4 linked regions of the Struthio camelus genome follow. The protein of the gene in region 3 purifies or fractionates together with the protein of the main gene of each other region. This does not show direct contact. Links are inferred from orthologs where the notes say so. Each region holds a gene or a part of one and is shown on either strand. Other genes may lie near its edges.

Region 1 (6,820 bases), on a different chromosome or scaffold from region 3:
GGGGGCCCCTGGCGGCATCGAGGCTGCCCTGGCGGCTCCGCTTGCGGCGGTGCTCCTCCGCGATGCGGTCGGCCCAGGCATCGTAGGGCTCCGGCTCCGGCGCGGCGAAGTCCTCTGCGCGGGGGGAGAGGGGAGGGCTGAGGCAGGCAGCCCCACGGCGCGGGGCTCTGTGGGGCAGGGAGCACCCCCCGGCAGCCCCGCTGCAGGCAAGGGGAGCTCCTTGGGGCGGCGAGAACGGAGATGGCGGCTTCCCGGCTGAGGGAGCGCGCGGGGTTGCCACGGGGCTGCCGAGGGGCAGGGCGTGGGGCTGCGTGCGGGCCCGCCGTGGGGCAGCCGTACCTCGGTAGCACTGGGGCTCGCCGCACTCGTCCTCCCACTCCTGCAGCAGCCGCTGGCGCCAGCCGCCGTCCGGGCTGGGGGGCTCCGGGGCGGCCTGGGGGCGGCCGGAGCAGCCGTGGGGCAGCCGTGGGGCAGCCGTGGGGCTCCCCCACCCCCCGACCCCCCGCCTTGTCCTGCCCCCCGGCACCTCCGGCTCCGGGCAGCGGCACCGCGGGGGCGCGGGGGGCTCCTGGTCGCCTGGGGACAAAGGGGAAAGGTCACCCGGACGCCTGGGTCCCCAGGGCCCGGGGGGAGGGGCCCCGGATGCCTGGGCCCTCCGGGGGGGAGGGGAGGGGCTCACCGCGGTGCCGCCGCCGGTGGGAGCCCATGGCGGCCCCGGGCGGAAGCGGCCCCGCAGGGGGCGGAAGTGGCGACAGGGGAGGGCGGAAGCGGCGGCGCTGGCGGGGGGGGGGGGCGGCGTGGAGGGACCCGCGCGGGGGTGACAGGGGCCAACGGGGCCCAAAGGGGGCAACGAGGGGACCAATGAGGGCACCAGTGGGGATCACCGGGGTGAACGAGGCTGCACGGCACGAATAGGGATCAATGGGGGAAGGGGAATCAGTGGGGATCAATGGGGCGAAGGGGGATCAATGAGGTGAAGGGGAATCAGTGGGGATCAATGGGGCAAATGGGGATCAATGGGGGAAGGGGAATCAGTGGGAATCAATGGGGCGAATGGGGATCAATGAGCTGAAGGGGAATCAACGGGGATCAACGACGTGAATGGGGATCGGTGGGGATTGATGCTGTGAATGGGAATCAGTAGAAACCAACGGAGCAAACAGCAATCAACGACATGAACGGGGATCGACGGGGACCGACAGCATGAATGGGGGTCGATAGGGACCGACAGCGTGAATGGGGATCGATGGGGACCAAAGCGCTGAATAGGGGCAGAAGCAGATCGAGGGTGCGAACGGGGACGAAAGACTCGCGCGGGATCAATGGGGACCAAAGCGGTCAGCAGGGATCAGTGACGCGAATGGGGGTCAAGGGCAGGAACGGGGTCCGTGGGGTTACGCCGCGCCCCGGCAGGTCGGACTCACCGGCGGCACCGCAGCGAGCGGCTCCAGAGTCCTGGGCAGCGCCAACCGCGTCGCCCAGCACGCGAAAGCTGGGTTTCCGCCCCGATTTTGCCGCCAGCGCGAGGGGGGCTGGGGCGAGCCCCGGCGGCCGGGGCCGCCGGCGCTCAGCGGCCCATGTAGGCGCGGAGGTCGCGCTCCCAGGCCCGGGCGGCGGCCTCCCGGCGCTGGGCCTGGCGCTTCCCCGCCGCCCCGGCCCGCTCGGCCCTCGGCTTCGGCGGCTCGGCCACGGCGGCGGCGTCGCGGGCCTCGAAGTGGGTGACGCGGGGCCGGAGGTCGCTGGGGCAGCCCAGGCCTCTGTGGTCGCGCTTGAGCAGGGTCTGGACGGGGAAGCGGCGCCCGTCGCCGGCGGGGCCCAGCCCGGCGCGGCCGTCCCAGCCGCCCTTGACGAGGAGCCGGAAGCCGACGTTGGTCTCGGGGATGTGGTAGCGGGCGGGCGGCGGGGGGTCGCCCCGGCTGAGGAGGTGGGCGGTGGAGCGCTCGTGCTGCGCCGCGCTCTCCTCGGCGTAGTGCGTCCCGCAGACGCCGCAGAAGCGCCGCTCCGCCGGGGCCGGCCTGCGGCGGGGAGAGGAGGCGTCAGGCAGGGCCGCGGGCGCCCGCTGCGCCCCGCCGCCGCCCGGGCACCGACTCACCGCGGCGCCTCCTCGGGCTCCGGCCGCCACTCGCGCAGCAGCCGCGCCAGCCCGCGGTGGCCAGCGTCCTCGGCCAGCCCGGCGGCGTCGCGGCCCCCGGCCTCGCGGAAACCCGTTCGGGCGGCCCCGCGGCGCAGCAGGTAGCGCACGGCGGCCGCTCGCCCCGCGCGGGCCGCGCACATCAGCGCCGTCCAGGCGAAGCCGTCCCGGTAGTTGACGTCGCAGCCCTCCTTCTCCAGCAGCCGCCGCAGGGTGCCCAGGTCGCCGTCCTGAGCCGCCTTCAGCAGCGCGTTGCCCCGGCGAGTGTCGGTGGGGCCCGACGGGGCCGCGGGGGGCTTGCGGCGGGCCCGGGGCGGCTCGGAGGGGGCCGGGGGCGGCTCGGCGGGCGGCACAGGCGGCTCGGAGGGGGTCGCAGGCGGCGCGGCGGGGGGCACAGGCGGCGCGGCGGGGCCGGCCCCGTCCTCCCCGGCCAGGAGGCTCTCGTAGAAGCGCCGGGCCTCGTCGCCGGCCTGGCTGCCGGGCTCGGCGGGGGCGGCCGGGCGCCGCTGGAGGTGTCCGTCCTTCCAGCAGTCGGTCTCGTCCCGGGCCCGGGTGAAGGCGATGAGCTGGGCCATGGCGGCGCCCGGCGGCGGCTCAGGGCTGAGGTGGGGGGAGAGGCCGGGTCAGGGCGGCAGTGGGGGAAGGGGGGGATGTGGGGCAGGGCCCTGGCAGGGGAACAGCCCTAGAGAAGGAGGGTTGGGGCTGGGGGGGGGGGGCAGGTGCCCAAGGAAGGTTCAGGCCTAGGGATGTGGGGCAGATCCTGGGGAGGGGGGAAGAGCCCTGGAGGGGGTCGGTGGGGCAGGTCCAGACTTGGGGGGGGGGTCGGTGGGGCAGGTCCAGACCCGGGGGGGGGGGTCGGTGGGGCAGGTCCAGACTTGGGAGGGGGGTCGGTGGGGCAGGTCCAGACCCCGGGGGGGGGTCGGTGGGGCAGGTCCAGACTTGGGGGGGGGTCGGTGGGGCAGGTCCAGACCCGGGGGGGGGTCGGTGGGGCAGGTCCAGACCCGGGGGGGGGTCGGTGGGGCAGGTCCAGACTTGGGGGGGGGTCGGTGGGGCAGGTCCAGACCCCGGGGGGGGTCGGTGGGGCAGGTCCAGACCCGGGGGGGGGTCGGTGGGGCAGGTCCAGACTTGGGGGGGGGTCGGTGGGGCAGGTCCAGACCCCGGGGGGGGTCGGTGGGGCAGGCCCAGACCCGGGGGGGGGGTCGGTGGGGCAGGTCCAGACTTGGGAGGGGGGTCGGTGGGGCAGGTCCAGACCCCGGGGGGGGGTCGGTGGGGCAGGTCCAGACTTGGGGGGGGGTCGGTGGGGCAGGTCCAGACCCCGGGGGGGGTCGGTGGGGCAGGCCCAGACCCGGGGGGGGGGTCGGTGGGGCAGGCCCAGACCCGGGGGGAGGGGGTCGGTGGGGCAGGCCCAGACCCGGGGGGAGGGGGTCGGTGGGGCAGGCCCCGGCCCTGGGGGGGTGATCCCGAGGCGGCAGCGGTGGGGCAGGTCCCCGCGGGCAGGCCGCACCCCTCCAGCCCCCCAACTCACCATAGAGACGGCGGAGCAGAGCGCCAGGGCGCCGCGCTCCGGCGCGCAGGCGCAGCCGCGGGGGAGGGGGGGCGCGCAGGCGCACCGCTACGGCGGGCGAGGCGGAGGGAGCGCGCGCATGCGCGTCGGCCACTGGCGGACCGCCACCCCCCCGCGCATGCGCGCGCCGCCCGGCGGCCGTTGTCGCGTCCCCCAGAAGCCCCCGCGCGGCGCCGCCGGGGCCGCGCTGGGCTGCAACGACGGCAGCGCGGGGCGGTGAGTGCGAGGCCCCGCCCCCCGCCCCGTGGCCATGGTAACGAGGGACCCCCCCCCTCGGGGGGGTTAAGGCCGCTCCCCCGCAGAAACACCCCTTTCCCCGGTAGTGGGATAAGCCACGCCCACTCTAGCGCAGGCCCCGCCTCCTCTCGCGGAGCCGGGGGGGGTATAACGGCCCCCTCGCGGTTGTAGTTCTCAGCCCCCCCCGCGCCATTCACCCCTATGGAGGAGGCGGTGCCGCGGGACTACAACTCCCGCCGTACCTCGCGCCGCCCCACGTGACCGGCCCCGGCCGCGGGTCGCGCAGCCGCACTCCCTCCGCCGCGTCACGTGGTGGGGGCGCCCTCCCACCCCACTCCCTTCCGCGCGGGGGCCGCCGGGAGCTGTAGGCGGGAGGCGGCTCGCGATTGGCCGGCGGAGGGGGGGGAGGCGGCTCCCGCGGCGGCGCGGACTCCAGTTCCCGGCGGCCCCCGCGGCGGCGCATGCGCGGGACGGCGCGGCGCAGGGCGGCCTTGCTGCGGGGAGGGTTGGCGCTGCGCGGCCCCTTGTTCGCCCCCTGAGAGCCGCGGTGAGGGGCCCGGACGCCTGGGCCCCCGGGGGGGCGGGGCCGAGGGGGGCCCGGACGTCTGGGTCCTGGGGGGCTGGGGTGAAGGGGAGCCCCTAAGTGAGGGAGGGCCGGGCCCCGGACACCTGGGCCCTTGAATGGGGGGGGGTGAAGGGGCCCCCGGACACCTGGGCCCTTGAGTGGGGGGGGGTGAAGGGGTCTCGGACGCCTGGGCCCTTGAGTGGGGGGGTGGTGAAGGGCCCCGGGACGCCTGGGCCCTTGAGTGGGGGGGGTGGTGAAGGGGTCTCGGACGCCTGGGCCCTTGAGTGGGGGGGGTGAAGGGCCCCGGGACGCCTGGGCCCTTGAGTGGGGGTGGTGAAGAGGTCTCGGATGCCTGGGCCCTTGAGTGGGGGGGGGGTGAAGGGGTCTCGGACGCCTGGGCCCTTGAGTGGGGGCGGTGAAGGGGTCTCGGACGCCTGGGCCCCTGGCGGGGGTCATCCCGGCCTCACCGCCCGCCTCCCCCAGACTCCGGGACCATGAGCAGCTCCGAGGAGGTTTCCTGGATCTCCTGGTTCTGCGGCCTCCGAGGCAACGAGTTCTTCTGCGAGGTGAGCGGGGGCCGCCCGGACGCCTGGGTCCCCTTGGGGGGGGGCCGGGGGGTGCCCGGACGCCTGGGTCCTCACGCCGCCTCTCCTGCCCCAGGTGGACGAGGACTACATCCAGGACAAGTTCAACCTGACGGGGCTCAATGAGCAGGTGCCGCACTATCGCCAGGCGCTCGACATGATCCTCGACCTGGAGCCAGGTGCTGGGGGGCTGCGGGGGGGCCCCGTGGGGCCCCTGGGGGGGCTGCGAGGGTCCCTACGGGGCTTGAGAGGGCCCGGAGCGGGGGTTGAGGGTCCTTGGTGGGTCCTAGGGGAGCTGCAGGGAGCTGGGGGGGTCCTTGGAGAGGTCATAGGGGGCTTGGGGGATCTCGGGGGGAGCTGGGGGGGGACCAGGGAGATGTGGGGGGGCACAGGGAGGTCCCGAGGGGGTCGGGGTTCTAGGGGAGTTAGGGGGGCTCCTGGGGCATTGGGGGGCCCTGGGGGGGCCGTGGAGGTCAAGAAGGGATCGCGAGGGGGTTCGGCGGTCCTGGGTTGGGCTCGGAGCCTTTGAGGGGTCTCGGGGGGGGTCGGCGCCCCCCGAGGGGGGCTGGCGGGGGGGGGGGGGGGGCCGGACGCCTGGGTCCCCGCTGACCCGCCCGCGCAGACGAGGAGCTGGAGGACAACCCCAACCAGAGCGACCTCATCGAGCAGGCGGCCGAGATGCTCTACGGCCTCATCCACGCGCGCTACATCCTCACCAACCGCGGCATCGCCCAGATGGTGGGTGCTGCGCCGCCCCGGGGCCGGGCGCCCCCCCCGCGCCCCCCTCACCGCCCCTCTCGCTCCCCCCCCCAGCTCGAGAAGTACCAGCAGGGCGACTTCGGCTACTGCCCCCGCGTCTACTGCGAGAACCAGCCCATGCTGCCCATCGGTAGGGGCGGGGCCCGGACGCCTGGGCCCTGGAGCGGGGGCCCGGACGCCTGGCTCGGCGGGTGCCGGGGAAGGGAGGGTGGGAGGCGCGGAGGGGCCCGGACGCCTGGGCCCCGCTGAGCCGGCCGCGCGCAGGTCTCTCGGACATCCCCGGGGAGGCGATGGTGAAGCTCTACTGCCCCAAGTGCATGGACGTCTACACGCCCAAGTCCTCCCGGCACCACCACACCGACGGCGCCTACTTCGGCACCGGCTTCCCCCACATGCTCTTCATGGTGCACCCCGAGTACCGGCCCAAGCGGCCCGCCAACCAGTTCGTGCCCAGGTGAGCCCCGGCCCCTTTTTCTCCGCAGCGTTCACTCTGGGGCCTACTGACAGCCCAGCGCTGTCCCGATGCTTTTTTTTCTTCTTCCAGGCTGTACGGTTTCAAGATCCACCCCATGGCGTACCAGCTGCAGCTCCAGGCCGCCAGCAACTTCAAGAGCCCCGTGAAAACCATCCGCTGAGCCCGCCGCCCCGGACACCTGGGTCCCTCCTCTCCCCCCGCAGCAAGGGGCCGCTGCTGCCTTGTTTTTCCTTTCTTTTTCCGTCGCGTTTTTTGGGTCTGGTCCCTCGGGGCAGGGCTGAGGCCCCTTCCCAGTCCTACGTACTGTTTAAATTAATCTGTTTTTGGTTGATTTTTCTCAGAGTTCAATTACAAAAAGAAAGAAGTTCAGAAAACCGGGCCACGAGCGAGGTGGTTTTTTGTTCCGCCTTCGCGAAAACCCGCCCAGTTGCTTGTTGTCGTGAGAGCGACCCCGAGGCGGCGGCGGGAGGGAGGGAGGGGTGGCTGCAGGCCCCGGCGCGCCCGG
Region 2 (7,742 bases), on a different chromosome or scaffold from region 3:
CGCGGCGGCCTCCGAGCGGCTGCGGCGCCCGGGCTCCGGCGGCTCCGGCGGCTCCGGCGGCTCCGGCGGCTCCTGCAAAGGAGGCGGGGGTGGCTCAGCCGGGCGGCAGCCGGCCGGTCCCGGGGCCCCGGGCCTCCGCCACCCAGCCCGGAGCATCCCGGCCCTCGGGGCAGCCCAGGCATGGCTCCAACGAACTGGCTAATTGCACTGGCCAGAGGAATTAGAGGGGGTTAATTAATCCCGGCAGGTGCTGCTGCAGGGAGCGGTGCAGTGAGGAGCCACGCCAGGGCCGGGGCTGGGGCTGGGGCTGGGGCGGGGGGGGGGGGGGAGCCAGCATGGCCACTGCCCCCGGGTGGGGGGCGCCCGGGGCCACGGCACTGAGCCGCTTTCCCAGCCCCGCTGGCCCCCGCGGCGCCCCCTCCCGCTAGCCCGCTGCGTCCACACGCCAAGCACACGCGTGCACGCTCGGATGTGCATGCATGTGTTCGTGCACACGTGTGCACACACAAGCACAGTTGCATGCTCAGCCAGGCATGAGTGCGCCCTCGCTGCACACACACATGCGCTTGCACAAGCACACACGCATGCACGCACACACATGCACGCTCAGCCGTGCATGTCTGCGCACACACATGCATACTTGGCTGTGCATGCATGCGCACACACGTACACACACATACGTGCTCTTGGCTGTGCACGCATGGGCACACACACATACACACCCATGGCTGCCCACACATGGGCACACACGCGCATGCACGCACACGCATACTCAGCCGTGCATGCACACACACACATGTGTGCACACATGCACACCCTCAGCCGTGCGTGCACGCGTACCCAATGCGCTTGCACACTCAGACTTGCCTGCATGCACACACGGGCATGCGCACACACGGGCACGCACACGCACGCACCTGCAGCCATGCATGCACACGCGCACCCTTGGCCGAGCAGGCGCGCGCGCGGGCACGGGGCAGCCACCCGCGTTTCCACGCTCTCCCCGGCCCCAAGCCGGCCGCGAGAAGCTCTGCCCGGCTCCCCCTTCCCGGAGGCGGCGTGTCCGCGGGGCACCGGGCAGTGCCGGGGGTCCACGGCCCCCTGCCCCCCCGGCCCAGGGCCACGCTCACCTGGTCCTCGGGCACGGCCAGGGTGCTCCGGCTCTTCTTCATGCAGCCGCCTGGCGCGGGGGCTCAGCGGCCGTCCTGCCCGCGCTCCGGCCGCGGGGGCCAGGGGGGCCGGCGCGGGGGGCACGGGGGGCGCAGGGGCCTGCAAGAGAGAGCGGTGGGGTGAGGGCTGCGTCCCGCCGCCCCCGCCGCCCCGGGGGGGCCCAGCCGGGCTGCTCGCGCTCCGTCGCCGGGACCCGGGGCTGCAGGAGCAGGGCTGAGCACCGACACGCTCATCGCAGCAGCGGCCAGCACCACGCTGGGGCTCCGGCTCCCCCCAGCACGGAGGGGGCTGCCCCCAGGTCAGCGCACCCGGCTTCCCCCGCCGCCTGCCCCGGCTTCGGGAGGAATTTTCCGCCTATTTAACTGCTTCGCAGTCGCTTGGCGCCGGGGCCGGTGACGCCGCGCCGAGCGGCGAAGCCCAAGCCGCGAGCGGAAACGGCCGGGGGCGGGCGGCCGGGGCGAAGGAACGGCGTCGCACGTCCCTCCCCGGCTGGGATTTCGGGGCGCTCCGGGGGAAAGGGGCGGCTGCGCCGGGACGGGTGATGGGGTGGCAGCGGTCTCGCCGACCCGCCGCCGCCGGCGAAGCCGCAGAAGGGGCCGGCAGGACGCGGCACGGCCGGCCCCGGCAGCGCGGCCGCAGGGCCGGGACGCTCCCGAAACGCGGGACGCCCGGTGCCTCTCCCGGCGGGGCGGGAGCGGGGGGCTCGCTGCCCGCAGCCCCACTGCCCCCGGGGGGCTCCCGGGGCCCCTCAGCACGACCGGCCGCGGGGACCCCCGAGCGCTGTGTCCCAGGGGGCTCCCGCATGGGGCACCTGCTCCCACCGGGGTGCCCTGTCCCACCGGGATGCCCGGTCCCCCTGGGATGCCCGGTCCCTCCGTTACTCCCGGTCCCCCCGAGATGCCTGGTCCCCCTGGGATGCCCGGTCCCTCTGTTACTCCCGGACCCCCCGAGATGTCTGGTCCCCCTGGGATGCCCGGTCCCCCCGGGATGCCCTGTGCCACCAGGATGCCTGGTCCTGCCGTGGCACTGCACCCCCCCCATCCCTTCCGGATACCCGGTCCCCCAAGATGCCCAGTCCCCCTGGGATGCCTGGTCCCTCCATTACTCCCGGTCCCCCCGAGATGCCTGGTCCCCCTGGGATGCCCGGTCCCTCCATTACTCCCGGTCCCCCCGAGATGCCTGGTCCCCCTGGGATGCCCGGTCTCTCCATTACTCCTGGTCCCCCTGGGATGCCTGGTCCTGCTGGGGCGCTGCACCCCCCACATCCCTTCTGGATGCCCAGTCCTGCCCAGATGCCCGGTCCCCCCGGGATGCCCTGTGCCACCAGGATGCCTGGTCCTGCCGCGGCACTGCACCCCCCCCATCCCTTCCGGATACCTGGTCCCCCAAGATGCCCGGTCCCCCAGGATGCCCAGTCTCTCCATTATTCCCGGTCCCCCTGAGATGCCCGGTGCTGCTGGGATGTCTGATCCTGCTGCAGCACTGCATCCCCCCCATTCCTTCCCGATGCCTGGTGCCCCAGCATGCCCAGTCCCCCCATGATTCCCAGTCTCTCCATGATTCCCAGTGCCCCCAGGATGCCTGGTCCCCCGGGATGCCCTGTGCCACCAGGATGCCTGGTCCTGCCGCGGCACTGCATCCTCCCCATCCCTTCCAGATACCCGGTGCTGCTGGGATGCTCGGTCCTCCCATGATTCCCGGTCCCCCCAGGATGCCCGGTGCTGTCGGGATGCCCGGTCTCTCCATTATTTCTGGTCCCTCTGGGATGCCCGATCCCCCCATGATTCCCAGTCCCCCCGGGATGCCTTGTGCCACCAGGATGCCTGGTCCTGCCACGGCACTGCACCCCCCCATCCCTTCCGGATAGCGGGTGCCGCCGGGATGCCCGGTCCCTCCATGATTCCCAATCCCCCCAGGATGCCCGGTGCCCCCATGATGCCTGGTCCCTCCATTATTCCCGGTCCCGCTGGGATGCCCGGTCCCCCCAGGATGCCCAGCGCCGCCGGGATTCCCGGTCCCCCCATTATTCCCGGTCCCCCCGGGATGCCCGGTGCCCCCGAGGCGTTGCCCCCCACTCCCCGCCGGGGATGCCCGGGCCCGAGCGCGGCGGCTGCACAGGGAGGGGAGGGCCCCCCCGGCCCCCCCGGTCCCCCCGGCCCCCCGGTGCCGCCCCCGGTACCTGGCCGCCGCCGGCTCGGCCGCATCCAGCCGCCTTTGTTTGCGGCGCCTCCCGCCCCCCCCCCCGCCGCCGCCGCCGCCGCCGCCGCCCCGGTACCGGCAGGCGCAGCCGCTCGGGCGGAGCGAACCGGGGGGGGGGGCGGGGGGGCCGGCCCCGCGGGTACCGCACCGCGCCGTGGCCCCCCGGCCCCCCCCGCACTCCCGAGCACCTCCGGTACCGGCACCCCCGGCCCCGGCCCCCCCCGGGATCCCCGAGCATCCCCGGTACTGGCCCCCCCAGGACCCCCGGGATCCCCGAGACCCCCGGCCCCGGCCCCCCCCCGGGACCGCCGAGCACCCCCGGTACCGGCCCCCCCGGGACCCCTGAGCACCCCCGGTACCAGCCCCCCCTGGGACCCGCGGCACTGTGATCCCGCCGGGATTCCCAGCACCGCGACCCCTCTGGCACCCCTGGCACCGGCAACCACCCAGGACCCCCGAGCACCTCTGGCACTGGGACCCCCTGGCACTGGGCATGACCCCCCCGGGACCCCCATGCACCCCCCAAACCGAGCACCCCCTGATACCGGGACCCCCGGTACTGAGCACCCTCCCTGGGACTCCTATGCACCCCCGGTACTGGGACCCCCCCTGCTCCCCAGCACCGGGCACCCCCAGCACCCCTAGCACCCCCAGCACAGCGGGGTGGCAGTTCGGGGCGGGCAGATGGGGGGCTGGCAGTGGCGAGACAGTCGGGGTGGCTGCGGTGGCTGGCCAGGATGGTGGGTCGGGGTGGTGGGTCAGCACGGTGGGTGGGGATGGAGTGTTGAGGTGGGGGGTCAGGATGGAGGGTTGGGGTGGAGGGTTGGGATGGAGGATCAGGATGGAGGATCAGGATGGTGGCGCAGGGTGGTGGGTCGGGGTGGTGGGTCGGGATGGTGGGTCAGGTTGGTGGGTCAGGATGGAGGGTTGGGATGGAGAATCGGGGTGGTGGGTTGGGTTGGTGGGTCGGGATGCAGGGTTGGGGTGGCCACAACAGCCATCCCAGATAGCAGGTTGGGGTGGCCAGGATGGGATACTGGGTCGTGACAGGGGGTCGCAATGGGGCAGGACGGGATGACGGGTGGGATGGGTGGCGGGTGGGCCTGGGACAACCACCCAGGGTGATGGACTGGGGCACTCGGGGTGCCGCAGGCAGGTGCTTCTGGCATCACCTCTTTTTTTTTTGGTGGGGGGGGAAGCGCCCCCCGTCCCCACTGGGGCTAGGGGGGGTCGACGCGAGGCCCTGCCCCGACCCCCGCGTCGCCTGCGCGTGTCTCTTTAAGAGGCGCGCCATCTTTGTGCAGGGCGAGGCTGCCGCGCATGCGCGCCGCCGCCGCCTCGCGGCGCTTCCGGCTTCTGCCCTGCGCGGCGGGGCGGGCGCGCAGGCGCAGTGCGCAGGCGCGGGCGGAAGTGCGTGCATGTGCGGGCGGAAGTGGGCGGGCGCGGGCGCTGGAGGTTTCCAGAAGAGGCCGGAGGAGCCGGGCCCGGAGCGCGGCCGCGCCATGGTGGACTACAGCGTCTGGGACCACATCGAGGTGTCGGACGATGAGGACGAGACGCACCCCAACATCGACACCGCCAGCCTCTTCCGGTGGCGGCACCAGGTCGGGCTCCGGCCGGCCGGCGGCAGCGCCCCCCCCCCCCCCCCCGACTCCGGGCTGGGCCGGGGCGCGGCTCCCCCGTGACCCCGTTTCCATGGCGACCGGCTCCCCCGTGACCCCGTTTCCATGGCGACCGCCTCCCCTATGGGGCCTGGGCTGGGGGCTCCCCTGTGACCCCCCCCGTCCCTGTGGTAACAGCTCCCTGAGACCCTTCCCTTCCCCATGGGGCCTGGGCTGGGGGCTCCCCTGTGACCCCCCCTGTCCCCATGGTAGCAGCTCCCTGAGACTCCCCCCTTGTCTGTGGGTCCTGGGCTGGGGGCTCCCCTGTGCCCCCCCCCGTCCCCATGGTAGCAGCTCCCTGAGATTCCCCCCTTGTCTGTGGGTCCTGGGCTGGGGGCCCCCCTGTGACCCCCCTGTCCCCATGGTAGCAGCTCCCTGAGACCCCCCCTTGTCTGTGGGTCCTGGGTTCCCCTGTGGCCCCCCCCTGTCCCCATGGTAATGGTTCCCTGAGACCCTTCCCTTTCCTATGGGGCCTGGGCTGGGGGCTCCCCTGTTACCCCTCCCTGTCACTGGGGTGACCAGTCCCCCTGGCCCCCATCCCCTTGTTGGCCTGGCTGGGGTCTCCTGCTGGCCCCTGTCCCCATGGTGGCTGGGCCATGGGGGAGCCCATGGCCCTCATCTGTTTGGGGTCCAGCTCCCTATGACCCCTATCCTCATGTTGACCTGGCCCCATGGTGTCTGGGCCAGGGGTTCCCCCATGGCTCCTATTGCTGTGGGGACTGGCTCCCTGTGACCCCTGTCCCCATGGCTCCCCCTGTCCCTCAGGGCCCTTCCAGGAGGCTTCCTCAGGGCACACTGTCCAAGGCCCTGGGAGCCAGCAGTCCTTAGGCCCTGCCCTGGGGTCCAGGGCAGCTGCCAGGAAGCCCCAGGCTGGTGCCTGCCCTGTCCCTTCCCTGGGCCTGGGGAGATGCTACCCTCTGACCAAGTCACTGTGCTAGGAGCTTAGCCAGCCCGAGGTAGTCTCTTCTGCCTAATACTGGTGCGGAGGCTTGGAAGCTATCGCGATCTGTCTGTGAGGCTCTGCGGCACCATGCCACTGACGCCCCTAGAGCGGGCCTGGGTATTAGTGGAAGTGACTTGTCTGCTGGGTCAAAGCAGCGCCACGGTGAAGCGCCCTGTGAGTGCCGCGTGTCAGCCTTTTGCCTGTGTTCCTCAAATGACTGATTTATCCCCTTATGCTTGCCCTGTGCTACCCTAGCTTGTCAGGCCAGGTGACGCTCGCCGGGGAGAACCCGGCTTCCCTCTGGAGAAGCCAGGGGTAGCCCACCTCACCTGGGGCCAGTGCCTGCTCTCGGGACTCAGAGCTTCGCGTCCCGTCGCTGTTGCGTAGGTTTCATGGATGTGGTTGGAAGGGCTGCGCCGAGTTCTGGCAACTCCCTGTGCTTCTAGCAAGCTGTTTCTTTCTGCTGCGATTCCCCTGCCCATGAAGGGTAATAAACCTGCAGGAGGAGGCAGTGACTGAGAGAGGCAGATTCATGGGATACTGGCTAAGCGCATGTGTGCGCTGCTTCTGTGGGTTCCCCCTCCCCCAAATGTGAGGAGAGGAAACTACAAGTTTCTTTGCAGGTAAAGAATGAATGCAGTGAGTTCGTGTGCTCCCGGCTGGCTTCCTCCGCTAAAGGCGTCCTCACCTCAAACAAGCAGAGGAATAACAGTGAAAGGCAGTTCTTCCCGCTTCCTGTGAGGGCCCTGGATAGGAAGGCAGGAAGGGTCCCGGCCTTGTGTGGAGGAGGTGCGCAGACCTGCGCTGCCTAGTCTGAGCAGAAGAAATCCTTAGGGACTCACAATCCTTTTCTCCAAGTAATATGATATTTGGGGGTTAGCAGCACAGGCTGTGGGAGGAAGGGAAGGGTGGTTAAAAATTGGACAGTGAAGAAAAATGAAGCTGGCGTGCAAATTAAATTGCCCCCGCTTCCAGTTCAAACAAAATGCTAGTGCTTAGCTTGGAGGGCTTGTTTGAGGCAGGTGAGCGTAGGCTTGATGTTGCATTTGGAATATGTTGTGGTGCAGCGTCTGCTCCAGGTTCGTCCTGTGGAGCTGTGCATGGAGAGAACGCAGCTCTTCTGCCTCTTGATCTTTCTTGAAAGAGATCTTTTTGAGGAAAGATGCGTCTGTTCTCACCTTGTGCTCCTAATGTAGCTGCTTCTGGGGGAGGGTATGTGACTTCTTGTTCTTCGCTGTGTTCCACAAAGAATAACAGCGATCTGGGAAAGCATGTCAGGCTTCCTGGAGCACGCGTCTCCTACACTGCAGCGAGCCGTTACCTAACAGCGTAGGGAGGCTCTGTGCGTGTGTCAGTGTCACGGGAGAAGCGTGGCTAAAGAACCCAAGTCAGCTAATGGGGTGTGGAAGATAGTGAACGCTAAACAGAAATATCCCGCTGTTGTCTTGAAGTGGTTTCAATTCTTGCCTGCTCCAGAGGAGGTAGAAGAGCCCCCCACCCTTCCCCAGGAAGCACTGCACAGTGCAGGCCTGAATAGCCAGAGCCAGCTGCCCACTCTGAGCTCCGGTCGCGAGCTCCTGTTGGCCGTTGTAGGGATGATTCAAAGTCCTGTGGGCTCTGGATGCACTGGAGAGGCTGATGTTGCTGCTTCGTGACTGCAGTCTTCCAGACTATCTATTTGTTTTTCTCTTGAGGGTCTTAAAAGTGTAAATTGTTGCTTGCAGGCTCGAGTGGAGAGGATGGAGCAGTTCCAGAAGGAAAAAGAGGAG
Region 3 (7,100 bases):
CAAGGAAATGAGATCTTACATTGAGAGCTGGGGATTAGAAGACAGGACGTGGAGTTCAAGTTCTAGCCTGATGACCTAGTGAAAACGTGACTCGGTTTCTCTGTTAGTGGAATGGGAACAACAATGAACTAAGGAACTGATTAGTGGATCTTAAAAATACAAAGAAGGTTGCTATAAGCTCTAATTAAATGACTGTTGTAGTGTGTGCACAAAGCAGACTACACCAGTCTGTCTTTGTAAACTGTAGCAGGCATTTGGGACTCAGCTTGTGAATTCTCATGCGTGCAATCTTTTTGCATTTCCTTATATGTGTAAAAGCAGTGTAGCATGCAGTTAAAGGAAGATGCTCCCTGGCTTCAGTAAAAAGAAAAGAATGGATACAGTGAGCCATGGGAACACTGTGTTATATATGGTTAGGTGGAGAATCGCTTAGGCAGCTTTTAACGTAACGAGGAAACCTCTGCCTCTTCAAAACCTGATTGGATTTGGTAATGTGGATAAGGATGAGTCTCAATACTTCCGCTTTGGAAGTGGCTCTTTGGGGATAACTGGCTTAGTGAGTGCTGTCAACCTTCCTGAAGAGGAAAATGTTACACACCACAAGCCAGGCAACTGCAGAGGCAAAAATATCTACAATTGTATTTGAGGGGGATTTGATTTTTTTTTAAAATGAAAAAAAAAAAAACTTGCAGCATTTTGAATTTTCAGCAAATGTAATAATGGTGAAAGGGCCATCCAGCCGATCTGGAGATCTCCATTTACCTGTAGCAGCAGCGGTCTAAATGGAAACGTAGGAATCCTACTACGAACCTTAATCCAGCCTGCGGCCCTGTCAGAAGAACGGCAGTGTGTGTGTGTGTAAATATATATATATATATATATATATATATATATATATATATATATATATATAAATCACTGTTTTTAGCCATAACAGTTACCCAAACAACAGGCTTTGGCGTTCAACTCAAAAAAACATTTTTTTCTACCCAGCTTGTGGCAAAGGGGCTGCTTTGTATAGCTGTTCTTTGACTAGGAAATAAACGCTGGGGGGACACCACTGTCTCGTTCCACTTACCTAAACTTACTGCTCTGGGCTTACCACCGGTCTGGAGCGGGAAGTCTCATATTCTGTTAATCAACTGTGAGTCAGTGTTGTCTAGTGCAGGAATCAAAGGAAGGATGGTCAGCCTGGTGATAGATAGCACTAGATAGCACTGCTTCTCTTTGAGTCCTGCCCAGCATTGCTGCTGAATCGCTACGGTGTTAGCTAGTCTTGGGGGCTGGAGGTGGGGGGTGAGGGTGCTAGTTCAGTCTTGAGGATACTGTGGAGCTACCTTAGCAAAACCTTTTCCTAGCCTTTAATAAAAGTAGCTTCATAAATGGAGAGCATAGACACGCACAAGTCATTGTTAGTCTCCCTAGTATCTTTAATTTGCTGTTTTATTATGAAAACCAGGCAGGATAATTTGATACTTTTGTTTGGGTGCATGGCACCTGTGGGTGTAGAGCTCTCTGTTCGTTCCAGCCTAAAGAAATCATTGCTCCATAAAGTTCTATAATTTCTGTCTTTTGTCAAACGCACGGTGAGCTGGCCTGTCTTTCTGCTGTGAAATATGAAGGACTTTCTGCATCTCAATAGACCTACCAGGGGGGCGGAAGCAGCAGTGGATTCCTTTCTCCTTTCCCTCACTGAATCCAATAGGCCTTTTTCTGTGTTTCAGACCGTTCCTCCAGATATTGTCTGTCAACCTTTCACCGTGACCTTGAAAATTAAGCCTTGCTAACCAGTAGAAACTGGTTACTGTACCACTCTGTAACTAGCCAGGTAACTGCCAGTTTTCAACACTTCAAAAGGAATTTCTTTCCTTTTTTAACTTTTTTCCACTGTTTACAATAACAGTCATGGCCTTGAGGTCGGAGATTTCTCAGGAGTTAATGACCACCTTGGCTTAGGTTACCCCCTCAGCTGCTCCAGATCACTGTTTGGCACCTGATCTTACCTGACTCCTGTGCACAGCTCTTATTTGAAGCTGAGAGGTGCTCTGCATGGGTCAGCTGATGGGAAATGGCCTTTGTGCCTGTCATTTGTTATGATTTAAATATTCTGCTTTGTTTTTTCCATTCAGGTGGGAATGTCCAAGTGTGCTGGGATGTGATGTTCACAGGTCACCTTCAAGGGGCTTAGCACTGAAGCATGGCAGGGCACGTTAGCGTTTCATTTTGTTCTCCTTCTATAAAGCATGCAGAGTGTCATCCTTTGCTCATTTGTCTGTGCATTCCTATTCCAGACCCGTCTGACACACACACGCAGAGCAGAAGGAAATCCAAAAAGGGCGATGAATTTTGCAAACAAATGAAGAAGGTAAACGGGATGCCAGTATTGACATCATCACGTTACTGGTGCCATTTAAAGCAGGTTTCAGTCTGCACCAGCTGGAGGATGGATGTAACCAGACGGCGGCACGCCGTGCACCAGGCAAGAGGGGAAATGGACAGCTTTGGAGCTAAATGAATAACTCTGCACAAGATCTGCTTCAGCTTGCTCCCACAGTAAGTGACGTGAGTTTAATTGGCTGTAACAGGACCTTGCTAGTACCGTTCTGGTTGTGTTATTTAATGCCTTCATGTGGGAGTCCAAAACTTATGGCAGAGAGGGGCTCTGAGTGTACGGTTGGGAGAGAGCAGTTCCCAGACTTGGCTCAAACAGTTATACTGTGACCCATGGGAATTTTTTTTACTCAATTCCCCCCAACATGTGAAAAAGATGGCAGCACTAACATAACTCACAAGCAGGTTCTGAGGATGACTTACAAATTAACTTCAAGTGTTGTGAAGATCAGCTGGAACGTTTAGACGTACTTTGTTTTTCTCTGCCCTAATTCAGCTTTTTCTGAGTTCACTGCCCAGCCTGAAGAAGTTGCAGGTTTAAGGGCTGTACTGGCTTTTGGGGGTAGGTGCCCTACAGAATGCAAAACCAAAGCTGAGCGCGGTTTCACTTGGACTCATTAAGTGATACTTCCAGCTATGCCTTGATGAAGTCAATGCTTAGCGATGCACCCTTGAAAAAATAATTTCTGTTAGAAATAATTTTATAATGAACATGAAAACGCTGTGCTTTGGCTTTTGGCTTAAAAAAATGAGTAGAAGAGTACACTTCTCCATTTGAGAAGCCTAGCAAGTAAGAATAGCAATGAATTGTGAGCACGTGTGTTTAAGGCACCTTTCCTCCGCAGGCTTCTAAACATCTCAGAAAGGTGGATATGGTTTTTTTTAATCCATGTTTTGTTGGGAACGGGAAAAAGAGAGGGGGGGTGCGCTGCAAACAGTGATGAGCCGTGACTCACTGTGCATCACAAACTTAGAATCCGGATTTCCCGGGGTGGTTTCCTGCTTTAGGCAGCAGCCTGAATCGTCTGTCACAGAGTTTATCCTCACAACCCTCTTCTTCGGGGATGTTTTGTAGTACTGTGTGTACAGCAGAGCAGCAGACAACTCCTCCAGCTCTGGAGGAAAAAAATCTTTCCCAGGCACAAAAGAGAGTTGGGCACCCAGTGACTGACCCAGAGCTGGCTGCTCAGCTGCTTCTTGGTGCTGCTGAGGATTTCCTCAGCAGAGAGGAGCACCGAGTGACTGCCCCGCTCACCTTATGCGGAGCGAGCAGCAGCTTACCAGCAGTTTTAAGATCCGTTTGGCTAACGGGCGCATCCAAATTTTGTCAGGGCGCAAAGCGCACAGAGCCTGCAGCCGTTCACGAGAGCTAACGGGGAAGGTTTTTTCCCCTGACCGGCCTCGCCGCTCCCAAAGGTGGGCTCGGCCCTGGGGTGAATTCGCCACCGGCCGGCACGCACACCCGCTCGCTCGCTCGCTGCCGGAGGGGAGCAGCTCGCTTTGCCCGTGGCCACCTCGGCCTCCTCGCTCCCGAGGGGGGCCCTTTCCCCTGGCCGAGCCCGGCCGGGGGGCAGCGGAGGGGCCGCGCCGAGCCGAGCCGCGCTGCGGGCGGAGCCGCGCCGCCCCCCGCGGCCGCCCCGCTCCGCTCCGCCCCGGCCCGCTCCGCCCCGCCGCTGCCGGCCCGGCCCGGGCAGCCCGGGGAGCCGGTGCCCAGCGCGGGGCGCCGCGCTGCGCTGCGCCGAGCCCAGCCCGACCCGGCCCGGCGCCGCGGGGCAGCCCGCCGCCAGCATGCCGCTCGCCCAGCTGGCCGAGCCCTGGCCCAACATGGAGCTGGTGCATCTGGACACGGAGGTGAGCGGGGCACCGGCCCTCGCCGCGGGCGGCGCAGCCGAGCGGAGCGGGGGGGGACGACCCGGGCCGCCCCGCCGGGCTCCGCGGTGAACAAAGGAGCGCCCGGGCCGGTGCTGCCGGGGCCCCCCCCGGCCCCGCTCGGGAGCCGCGGGCGACCCCCCCCCCCTCCCCAACGCCCCATATCCCGGGGGGCGGGAAGCGGTGCGGGCCGGGCTCGGGCAGGCACGGTGATGGGCTGCGGAACGGGGGGGGGGGGCGGCGCGGCGCTCGGCAGCCCGCCGCTGCCCGTTCAGACGTGCTCCCAGACGTAGAGGGGCACGGGCCCTGCCCGGGGCCCGAGGAATAGATGCTTCATGTGCCGAGTCTTCCTCTTCAGGGCTCCCTCGCTGCTGTTCTTCCTAGACCAGCTGTCCTGAGAGGCCTGCCTGTGTTTCAAACTCCCAGGCACCCTGTCATGCTCCCCTGTTACTTTGGTGGATGCTTTGCTTTTTCCTTTCTAATTACGGCCTCGAACCCAGATGCACAGGACACATCAGCTGTCTGCCTCTGCAGGGTTGTGCCACGACCGTTTCGGAATAAAGGCACAGCTTTTAGGAGTTTTCACCCATTGCAAAGCAGCCAGCTGAGGCAGTGTGCTCCGGCAACCTTTAGTTAAGCATCTTCTAATCCAAATTAGAACTAGCCTCTTTCCTGAACAAATGATATGGCCGTTGTGGGTTTTGTCCCAACCCCTGTATTTGGACCCTCGCAGTCTCCCATCCTCTTGGCTGTATTCAGTGCTCTCGGTTTTGCTCCTTTACCTCATCTCATGCCTAGAGATGTTGTGATGGTTGAGTGGTTAGATTTGCTCATTCCTATTTAAAACTGCCTCTTAAAACATCTTTGCCTTCAGCGGAGGCAACGTTTCACTCCTGCTGCAATGATAACAGATAGAGGTCTGCTAACAAAAATGGGTGAGGTTGCCTAATTTTCATCAACCAGATGTGGCAAGACTTCTCCTAGAGACTTCCCCATGCCAGAGGCGCTGCATGTGCTGGGGGTTCACATCATCTGGCCTGAAGGTGCGGACGCACCCGGCAGCGGGCTCGGCGCGTCTGCTCGGAAGCAGTGCTGGAGTCATGAGGATGTGTTTGTGCTCGAAAGTGGGAGAGGAGGGAGGTTGCTCAGCCTGCAACGACTGGATCGTGATTCCTGGAAACCATGTCGTGCCTTCGGAGCTTGTCTAGGGTACCGGAGTAGGTTAGAGCTAGAACACAGGGCTCTTTAAGTTGGTGGTTTCTCTCTTCCTAAATAGGAAGATATCTTGAAAAGCTAAATAACAAAACTAAACTCATAACGGGAGAAAACTAATGCTAGTGCCCAGGGCAATAAATGCCATTGGCAAGATCGGTTTACTGCTTAATCCTACGTCTTTCAGGTGCCAGTCAGCTGGCTGTGTCAAAATCACGAGATCTCTTCTGACCGGAAACAGCTCGGGGGGAGCTCCCGTATATTTGTCAGCTGGAGTCAGCTGTGAAGATCATAGTTAGCAAGAACTATTTTCCCCACTGGAGTAGTAACCGATGTGTTAATTGTAAACTGAAACTTCGGGGCCTGACTCTCACTTCTCGGCTATCCCCTTCCCCCATCTCACCTTGCCTAGAGCTCTAGGTCAGCTCCACGGTCGGGAGCGGTTTGCATGTGATATTTCTGAAAATCACTTTCCTGAAACCTCAGGAGGGCTGCATCTCCACCTGGAGTGGGACGTTAGCAATTTATCCTCCCCTGGTTTGAGGAGAGCAAACACATGCTCTTGCTTCCAGTGAGAGAAACAGGATGGATGTTCTTCACCTCTAAACCTGGCTGCCGTCGCCTGTGCCAGACGTTAGCATGTTCCTTTAGCTGTAGCAGCGTATCTGCAGGCTGCAGAGAGGGACGTAGGCTCGGTGGGATTTCTGCACCTTGCGAGGTAAAAATGGCTGAGGGTAGAGGCCTGGGGAGAAGATTTTAACCTCTTCTGGGCAAGGTGGAGACTCTTCTGGAATGTCAGTTACGTAAATTGCCCTTGGATCTCTGCCATCATGGTTTTCAACCGGCTTCCTTGTACCTTTGCTTTCTGAGTCACAGAGCAGAGGTGCTGTCACTGTGCTGGTGAAGGCACCGGGCCTGTTGTCTGCAGGTTTGGGGTTTTTCCACTGCACTTCAGGAGCGCTAGCAATCTGTTCCTGGGGTCTGGTCCCAGCTGGCGCCTGTTGTCCCGGCCTGCCGGCGCTCAGCGTGGAGCTGCTCCGTGGAAAATGCGTGGGGGTGGGTGGCAGCGGGAGCTAGGACTAATCTGTTGCAGGAGAAAAGTGGATCCACCTCTGTCCTGGGGACTGAGCTGGTTTCATATTTTTTTCCCCTTATTCTCTCTCCTGCTTATATCATTCAGAATATTGCTTATGTAGTTGAAAAATCTGGCTGGGGCAGAGTACAAGCGATAGAGTGGAGTTGAATGACTTCATCACCATAGCGATGGAAACTGTCATCTAGGCTGTGCTTTTCTTTAAGCTCTTGTCTTGTAACACATACAGCAACATAACTGACGTGGGATTACCACAAACCTAATCACTTCGAGCTAATTATTTTTGCCGGTATATATGTATTCTCTTTTATTGAGCAGCAGCCATTCACGAGTAACTATCTTTTCCAAGCATCTTAGCTGAACGATGCATAAAACAATGATCAGAAGATACAGCAGGAAGCTATGTGAGTTTAGTCTCTGATATGCCTTGTGCGCAGCGCAGCTGACTCCTCAGTCCGTTTGGGCTATGGCAGTTCTGCTGGCAATCTTTATTTTTGCAGAATTATTTCCTTTCTCTAAATTGCACTAGGCAAGA
Region 4 (7,187 bases), on a different chromosome or scaffold from region 3:
ATGAAGAGCAGGGCCCTGAATTCCAGCTGCCCTTCTACAGAGAAGTGCTGTGGGGCCAGGAAAGAAACACAGCTGCTGTGATGATTCCCTTCTACAGCTTCTGTCAGGACCCAGCGGCCTGCTCTGGGCAGGCTGAACTGCCATCCCACAGGGCATGCAGAGGGACACAGCAGGCTCTCCAGCATGCAAACAACCTGCATTTCCCTCTCTTCCTCCTCAGCTCCACTGTCTCCTGCTACCCTGACTGCCAGGACTGTCTGGCGTTCAGCAGCCCTAGATGACGAAGTCATGCTGCTCCAAGGCCCAACGCCCTCCCATTCTCTTTTGAGGGTAGCACTGCTCATCCTACTGCCTGCACAGAAGTCACAGGGCAGGCTGAGGCACCACCAAGTGGCCTAGGAACTCTCAGTCCTGCACTGAAGCACAAACACGAGGTGGCTTTAAACATGGAGTGGAAAGGAATCCTTTCGTCTTTTTCAGCACCCACCTTGACAGCCAGGTGGTCTTCCCAGTCATTGGTGAGACTTTTGTAGAACTCGCCATATTCCTCCTGGGTGATGTCATCAGGGTTGCGTGTCCAGATGGGCTTGGTCTTGTTCAGCTCCTCCTGGTCAATGTATTTCTCCTTAATCTTCTTGGTCTTCTTCTTCTTCCCTTTATCTCCCTCTTCCTCCTCATCAGAGCCCACATCCTCGATCTCGGGTTTCTCCTCATCCTTGGAGGCTGACTCCTCCTCCTCCTTCTCGCTTTTCTCCTCTTCTGCTTCATCATCACTAATCTCTTTCTCACGCTCTTTCTCCAGCTGCCAGGAGAGGAACAAGAGAAAGTCAGGGCCATGAGCCCAAGCTTAGCCCCAAGCAAACACTATCAGGAGTCCTTTTGCCCCAGAGAAGAGGAACACACGCACTCCTGAGCGTAGCTGAAATCAGCTCCAAGAGACCTCTCATTGCTCACAGGACTAAGGGCTGGGTCTGAGGAGATGAAGTGAGGGGCAGAAAACTCTCCTGTCTGCAAGGCTGGTTTACATGATCTCTACACGCACAGAGATCAAGGGCCAGGAGCATGACTGGATGCCCCCCACCTGCAATAGGCCCCCAGCCTCAAAACACCTCCGGCCGAATAAGGCTGGGGACACCGTCGCTCAAAACACAGCAGCCAGGAACTGGAAGGGAACGGAAGACACACTACTCTAGTTTTCTCCATCTTTCTGTTCCCAACATACGTCTCTGCTCTAGCTTTCCAGTTGGTCCCCAAAGTCCTTCCCTTACTTACATAGAGTGTAATAGGGTAGCCAATGAACTGGGAATGTTTCTTCACCACCTCTTTGACACGCCGCTCCTCTAAGTACTCTGTCTGGTCCTCTTTCAGATACAGGATCACTTTAGTGCCCCGTCCAATAGGCTCACCTACAGTGTAGAAAGAGAAACGTTAGCGCTAGAGGCATAGGGCAGCTCCTTAGGCCCAGCCACTACCAGGTACTTCACGTTAACAAACTCGAGTTTGTTAACTCAAGTCCAGCCCAGGAGAACACCACAAAGGGGGGCTTTCTGGATGACAGAGATAAACTTACCTTTGTACAATACATACCATGGTCAGTCCGAACAGTGAAGGAACCCCCGGCAGATGACTCCCAAGCATACTGCTCATCATCATTATGCTTAGTAATAACCACAACCTTCTCAGCCACCAGGTAGGCTGAGTAGAAACCCACACCAAACTGCCCAATCATGGAGATATCTGCACCTGCCTGCGGAAGCAGAAAACGACAAATAAAGAGAGAAGGACGCAAAACATGCCTGCAAGTGATTCGCAGCAGCAGAGAACTAGGTCAGCAGGCAGAGATAAAGTGGGAAGTGCCCACAGGCAGGCAGCCCTACCCTGAGCTCCTCCCTGCTACAGGAGAGGTGGGGAAACATACGTAGGCAAGCCAACAGCTCCCACAGCAAGACAGAGGCAGGGCTGGGTGCTGACTGTCGGGCATGCTTCTATTGTAAGGAGGGGGTACACCCCAGTGAAAGTCTAGGGCCCAGGCTGCAAGAAGCCAACACAGCCAAAGGCAACCCACCTGCAGGGCTTCCATGAAGGCCTTGGTACCAGATTTAGCGATAGTGCCCAAGTTGTTGATGAGATCAGCTTTTGTCATCCCAATACCAGTGTCCACCAGGGTGAGCGTGCGGTCTCGCGGGTTGGGCACAATGTCGATCTTGAGGTCCTTGCCGCTGTCCAACTTGGAGGGATCAGTCAGGCTCTCGTAACGGATCTTATCCAGCGCCTAGGAGGGGGAGAGCAGAGCGCGTGCCTTGGCCTCGGGACTTCGCGGCCACCTCCCGCGGGCCGCCCCCGGCCCGGGCACCCCGGGAGGGACACCAGCCCGCCCCAGGGCCCGGGGAAGGAGAGGAGGGAGGGCAGGGGAAGGCCCCACGGGCGGGTGGGCCGAGGCGAGGCTCACGTCGGAGGCGTTGGAGATGAGCTCCCGCAGGAAGATCTCCTTGTTGGAGTAGAAGGTGTTGATGATGAGCGACATGAGCTGGGCGATCTCCGCCTGGAAGGCGAACGTCTCCACCTCCTCCTCCCCATGCTGCACCTCCTCAGGCATCTGCAAGGCAAGCACAGGCCGCTGGCACCGGGGGCACGGGGCGCCCCGGGCCGCGGCGGGGCGGCAGCGCGGGCGGGCCCGGCGCCCTTACCGCGGGCGGCGGCCGTTCCACACGCGGCGGCAGCTGACGGACCTAGAAAAGAGCAGCCGCCCCCTCCGACCCCTTTTTATAGCGACGGCGCCGCACCGCCCGCCGGCTCCTTCCGCCTTAAAAGGGCCTGGAGAGGCGCGGCGGGTCCCTGCGGCCGGGAGGCTCCTGCCTCACGCCGCATCCCGTCCGCGATGAAGGGAGAGCGAGGTCGCTTCTCCGAAGCGCCGTGCCCCTCCGTTGGGGGCCTGCAGGGTGGGTACCACAGACACCCCCGTGCTCCCCCTCCCCCCCACTGCCAGCCGCTGGGTGGGCCCCACTGCAACGCCCTTTTAACCGCGGCGGCGGACATGACTCGGGCACCTTCGGCCCGAGCGCCGCCCCCAGCTCCGCCCCGCCCCGCTGCCGCAGCTCCGCCCCCGGGGGGGCGACTGCCTGCCTGCCGCCGTCCCGGGGGAGGGACCGGCGGCCTTCACCGCCCCGCCGCCGCCATTCTCCGCGGCCTCCGCCCCCGGCGGGGTAGCGGGAGGGACTATTTCCCGCGGGCGGCGGAGGCGCACTGACGGCGGGTGGCAGCGAGGCGGCTCCTTCCAGAGGCTTCCACGGGACGCTCCGGCTGGGCAGGGTCGGGTCGGTGCCCACCCGGGGACCTCGGCCCGGCCCGGCCTGCCGCTCTCTCGGCTTCCCCCTGAGCCCCAGCGCCGGGGGAGAAGGGCCGAGGGGGGCACGGCCGCGGCCTGCCCGTGCGGGGACGCCCTGGGTCCTTCCCTGGCCGTGCTTGGAGCTGTGAGCAGCTCCTCAGCTCGGCTGATGGCGCGTTATTGTCACAGTCATCAGGATGCCCTCAAGTGCTAGAAGGGAGATGAGCTTTTTTAATCCCCCCGTTGGTGTTTCCTCGGCAGTGCCAAGGTGCAGAGCGGGGATCTAGGCTGGGGGTTGTATAGGAATGAGCTGGGGCGGCAGCAGACACGGTGCCAGAGGCCCAGGGCAGAGCTTGTGTGCCCTGCCCCCGCCATCTTCCTGGGGGTTTACGGCCGAGCAGAACAGCATGGGGGCTTCCTGTTTTAACTTCCTCGTGTGTCAGGATCTTTGGCCATGTGTGAAACACCAGCTGCAGGCTTGAGCACCTGTCGGTAGCTGTGGGGTGGGTGGGGGAGCAGCAGGGAAAGCCAGGGAAGCGTCAGCCCTTTGGGTAGTTTACAAGGCACCTTTTTATCCATATGCTACGTTGCTGGCAGCTGTCATGCGCAGGGCTCTTCACTCGGTGCAGGGAGACAACAGCTCCCCTGAGGCCGAGAGCCAAGCGCCGAGCAGCTGGCTCCAGGCGCATCTTTGGCTGATGAACTCGTGGCTCTGCTGTCCTGACCTTTCTGAGACTGTGGGTGCAAGCCAGGAGCGGACCGGGGCAGCGCGGAGGGGGAACACGCAGGATGGAGGAGACAGGCAGCAGCGGAAGGGCTTTGCGGGAGGACCTGCTGCAGGGGTCACGTCAGGGCTGAGGGGCGCTGGTGGAGCTGGGTTCAGAGGGCGGAGCAGACCCGTTTCCTCCATCAGAAGTCAGCTTGGCAGGGAAGGTGTTTGGAAAGCAGTTTTTAGCAGCAGCTAAGGGCACACAGGATAAATCCTGTGCCTTATCCTTTCTCTTGGAGCTGCAGGCGCGTAAGTCTGAATCCCTCACGGGGCAGAGCTGGGGCGATCTCTGACCTCTGGGCACGGCTGCAAGAGAAGCCCCAGGTAGCTGCTAGCAGAAGGCGGGATGAGGGGACCTGGGCCCTACAGTTCTGGGCCTTTTGGGTCTGCGGGGAGCCGAGGCACTGCAGCAGGTGAGCCCGTGGAGCTGAGGAGGCGATGGCCGTGAGCAGCGCGTGGGGCAGGGAGGCCGTGCGTGGGGGCCGTGGCCACTGGCGAGGTGATGTAGTTCTCCCCAGGAGCAGGAGGTGGCACTCCAGCAGTTCCAGGCACAGGGAAGGCTCCTGGGTGCACGGGCTGCTGCTGGCTGCCCCCAGCACATGCAGGTGCCTCCGCCCCTTCTCAGAGGTGCCAGGGGTCTGCCCCAAGGCCAGCACCCCCTCCTCATCTCGTAGCAGTGAGGTCCTGGGGGCGGGCACACCGCTCAGCCGCCTGGTGCTGGCCACAGGGGACCCCAGGGACACCCTTTCAGCTCTGGCCCTGCTCAGCCCCAGTGGCCCTCCTCCCTGTGGTGATGGAGACAGACACACATACCCAACAGGGCATTTTGGTCTTTTTATAGAAAAAGGCAACTGTACAGATACATTTACAAGGCAGGGAAGAGACAATGGGGGAGGTCAGGCTCCCCCTGCAGCAGGGGGGGAAGCAGGGCAGCCTGGGTGGGAAGGGAGCCGCCTGCTTTCCTCTCGCACTTCATGGTGCCATCTCCTGTCACATGAATAGGAGACAGGAAACAGTGGCAGAATCATTAACCAGTTTTTGAGGGGGCTGGGAAATAAGCAGGCAGGGAACGAAGGCAAAGAGAGCGGGAAAAGGCAGGGTGTGGAGACCTCTTCCTCCCTCAGTCTAGCCATGGTGTTGGATGGCAGCTCTTCGTGTAGGACATGGATATCCATGTCTCTCGGATACTACTGTGCAGGAGGATGTGCTTGTAGCAGACAGTGGGGATGAGGAGAGCAAGGCTGGCTGGGGCTCTCCTTCCTATTTTCAAGTCTCCCCAGTAGGGGAGAAGTTGAGATGTGAGATGTTTCCAGGCCCCCTGGGAGACAAAAGGAGATCCAGTCCCCAGGTGCCTTGGGAACGCGGGCGGGAGAGGAAACAACACTGGACACCAGCCCTCACTTCTGCCTGTCAGAGAGGAGGTAGCTGAGAATGGCTTTAGGTCTTGAGCTGGGGAAGTTACGCAGCACGAGGGGATGGCTGGACCTCTGTGAGATCCCAGGGGTCTTGCAGCATGGCAAAGGCACGAGGGCCTGAAGGCATCACACAGCTGAGCATGGCAGGAGCCAGGCCAGCCCTGGAGTGGAACTGTCCCTGGCTGTAATATCTGCTTTGGCAGTGTAATTCGGCAGGGGCAGATGTGGTGTTTTCTCCCCATGGCGTTGAGGTGTCCAGGGCCTCAGAGGAGGATGCAGAGCTGTCTCTCCGTGTCTGTGCAGCCTCCAGGTACCTCTGCTAGATGAGAATTCGGAATAGGAAGGAGACAGCAGCTCCTAGGGCCAAGCCCAGCGAGAGGAAAAAGGCCATGACTGATCCAGCTGTTTCTGCTTCATGGGCAAGCACTTTCCTGTGGGAGAAACAAGTGTCAGACCCATCCTGGGGAAAGCATGCTCTGTGCCCCGCTGTGTCCTCAGTTGCAGCGACGGGACGAGACCTCACAGTAGGCAAAAGCTGCGTCCCTCGCAGCAGGGGGGTGGCAAGAGCAAAGCCTGCTCGGCTCCAAGAGCTTCCCTCTAAATTACGGGCTCATTAAAAAAAAAAAAAAAAACACACATCAGGCAGGCTGCCCTGAAGCTCCTGACGCCAAGAACACCCCTCCCTGGCTCCTGCCCTGATGCACTGCAGCCTGCTCAGCTGAGCCTCAGCAGGCCTCCTCTTGCTGCCTGTGTTCCTGTGCTGGACAAGGCTGCTCACCACATTGTGTATGCTGCTCTGCCTTTTGCTGCCTCCAAAGTCCTGTTGTGTTCAGCCTCTTCCCCAGGGTGGCACATGGGGAAAATGAGGAGCCCACACAATAGCATCCTCAGCTCTAGGATGTAACACAAGGCTGGGAGAGAGGACACTGGGGTTGTCTTCCCAGAGGGGAGGTGGTGTGGCTATCTCCCTCTGCGCTGGAGGAATCCAGGTGCCAGAGCTAGGCAGAGCCTGGACTCAAGGAGCCAGGCCTGGGCTGACATCCACAGGTGTAACCAGCTGTTCCCCTGTCCCCAGCTGTTACTCACTTGGGCCCGAAGCACATGCAAAGGCTGGCCAAGTAGCCGTTGGAGATGGAGAAGAAGATCATGAAGACGATGTACCAGGCATCATGAGAGAAGACGACAGGCAGGTAGTTGCGGGGCTGCACGTTGCACAGCATGAAAAGCGGTATAAAGATGACACGTAGGGCCACCATCGCTGGCAGGAGACAGCTGTCCTTCCCAGGCTGGGAGAAAAACACACGTCACTGAGTAGCTGAGTTCCCTGTCCCATGGCACGTCAGCAAGGGCTGCAGAAGGGCTGTACCTGCTGACTACTCTGAGGCCGAAGGGAACCACACAGAGGGCAAAGTTGCTCAGGCTTTTCCTCATGTAACAAATCTTAGCATCACCTTTGGATGTGAGGTAGAGATCAGGGCAGTTCCTGACCCATTCTCTGCAAGGCTCCCAGACTCACAGCTCCTGCCTGCCTACTTTCAGCATACACCTCTGGGTCTGCCTGTCCTGATCCTACAGCTTCCTGCATCCAGTTACACGGGCTCCCTCAGCATCACATACAGCTATGTGAGGCTTGGGGTGCTCTTCTCTCTTTCTTTTCCCCCAGCCTTCCTGGTATCTG

The links.
Region 1: the proteins of RPS6KA1 (region 3) and CSNK2B purify together in Homo sapiens (affinity purification with mass spectrometry; 4 studies listed by BioGRID and IntAct, with this or other methods). This does not show direct contact. The link is inferred for Struthio camelus from reciprocal best matches to the Homo sapiens genes RPS6KA1 and CSNK2B.
Region 2: the proteins of RPS6KA1 (region 3) and CDC37 purify together in Homo sapiens (affinity purification with mass spectrometry; 4 studies listed by BioGRID and IntAct, with this or other methods). This does not show direct contact. The link is inferred for Struthio camelus from reciprocal best matches to the Homo sapiens genes RPS6KA1 and CDC37.
Region 4: the proteins of RPS6KA1 (region 3) and HSP90AB1 purify together in Homo sapiens (affinity purification with mass spectrometry; 3 studies listed by BioGRID and IntAct, with this or other methods). This does not show direct contact. The link is inferred for Struthio camelus from reciprocal best matches to the Homo sapiens genes RPS6KA1 and HSP90AB1.

The regions. Positions count from the first base shown.
Region 1 is NC_090977.1:8,404-15,223, reverse strand, and holds CSNK2B (casein kinase II subunit beta), read left to right. Parts: upstream 1-3,815; 5' UTR 3,816-3,911; intron 3,912-4,387; exon of another isoform or gene 4,388-4,479; intron 4,480-4,539; exon of another isoform or gene 4,540-4,781; intron 4,782-4,862; exon of another isoform or gene 4,863-4,980; 5' UTR 4,981-4,991; coding exon 4,992-5,063; intron 5,064-5,157; coding exon 5,158-5,260; intron 5,261-5,703; coding exon 5,704-5,819; intron 5,820-5,894; coding exon 5,895-5,970; intron 5,971-6,104; coding exon 6,105-6,294; intron 6,295-6,384; coding exon 6,385-6,475; 3' UTR 6,476-6,693; downstream 6,694-6,820. Other genes in the region: NFKBIL1 (NF-kappa-B inhibitor-like protein 1), read right to left, coding at 1-114, 340-576, 680-707; GPANK1 (G patch domain and ankyrin repeat-containing protein 1), read right to left, coding at 1,568-2,015, 2,093-2,706. UniProt on the Homo sapiens protein: Regulatory subunit of casein kinase II/CK2.
Region 2 is NC_090972.1:4,865,970-4,873,711, forward strand, and holds the start of CDC37 (hsp90 co-chaperone Cdc37), read left to right. Parts: upstream 1-4,740; 5' UTR 4,741-4,787; coding exon 4,788-4,973; intron 4,974-7,697; coding exon 7,698-7,742. UniProt on the Homo sapiens protein: Co-chaperone that binds to numerous kinases and promotes their interaction with the Hsp90 complex, resulting in stabilization and promotion of their activity. Inhibits HSP90AA1 ATPase activity.
Region 3 is NC_090964.1:7,012,180-7,019,279, reverse strand, and holds the start of RPS6KA1 (ribosomal protein S6 kinase alpha-1), read left to right. Parts: upstream 1-4,085; 5' UTR 4,086-4,179; coding exon 4,180-4,242; intron 4,243-7,100. UniProt on the Homo sapiens protein: Serine/threonine-protein kinase that acts downstream of ERK (MAPK1/ERK2 and MAPK3/ERK1) signaling and mediates mitogenic and stress-induced activation of the transcription factors CREB1, ETV1/ER81 and NR4A1/NUR77, regulates translation through RPS6 and EIF4B phosphorylation, and mediates cellular proliferation, survival, and differentiation by modulating mTOR signaling and repressing pro-apoptotic function of BAD and DAPK1.
Region 4 is NC_090944.1:104,477,883-104,485,069, reverse strand, and holds the start of HSP90AB1 (heat shock protein HSP 90-beta), read right to left. Parts: upstream 3,016-7,187; 5' UTR 2,688-3,015; intron 2,597-2,687; coding exon 2,450-2,596; intron 2,273-2,449; coding exon 2,066-2,272; intron 1,748-2,065; coding exon 1,588-1,747; intron 1,407-1,587; coding exon 1,273-1,406; intron 803-1,272; coding exon 488-802; intron 48-487; coding exon 1-47. Other genes in the region: SLC29A1 (equilibrative nucleoside transporter 1), read right to left, coding at 5,829-5,940, 6,596-6,795. UniProt on the Homo sapiens protein: Molecular chaperone that promotes the maturation, structural maintenance and proper regulation of specific target proteins involved for instance in cell cycle control and signal transduction. Undergoes a functional cycle linked to its ATPase activity.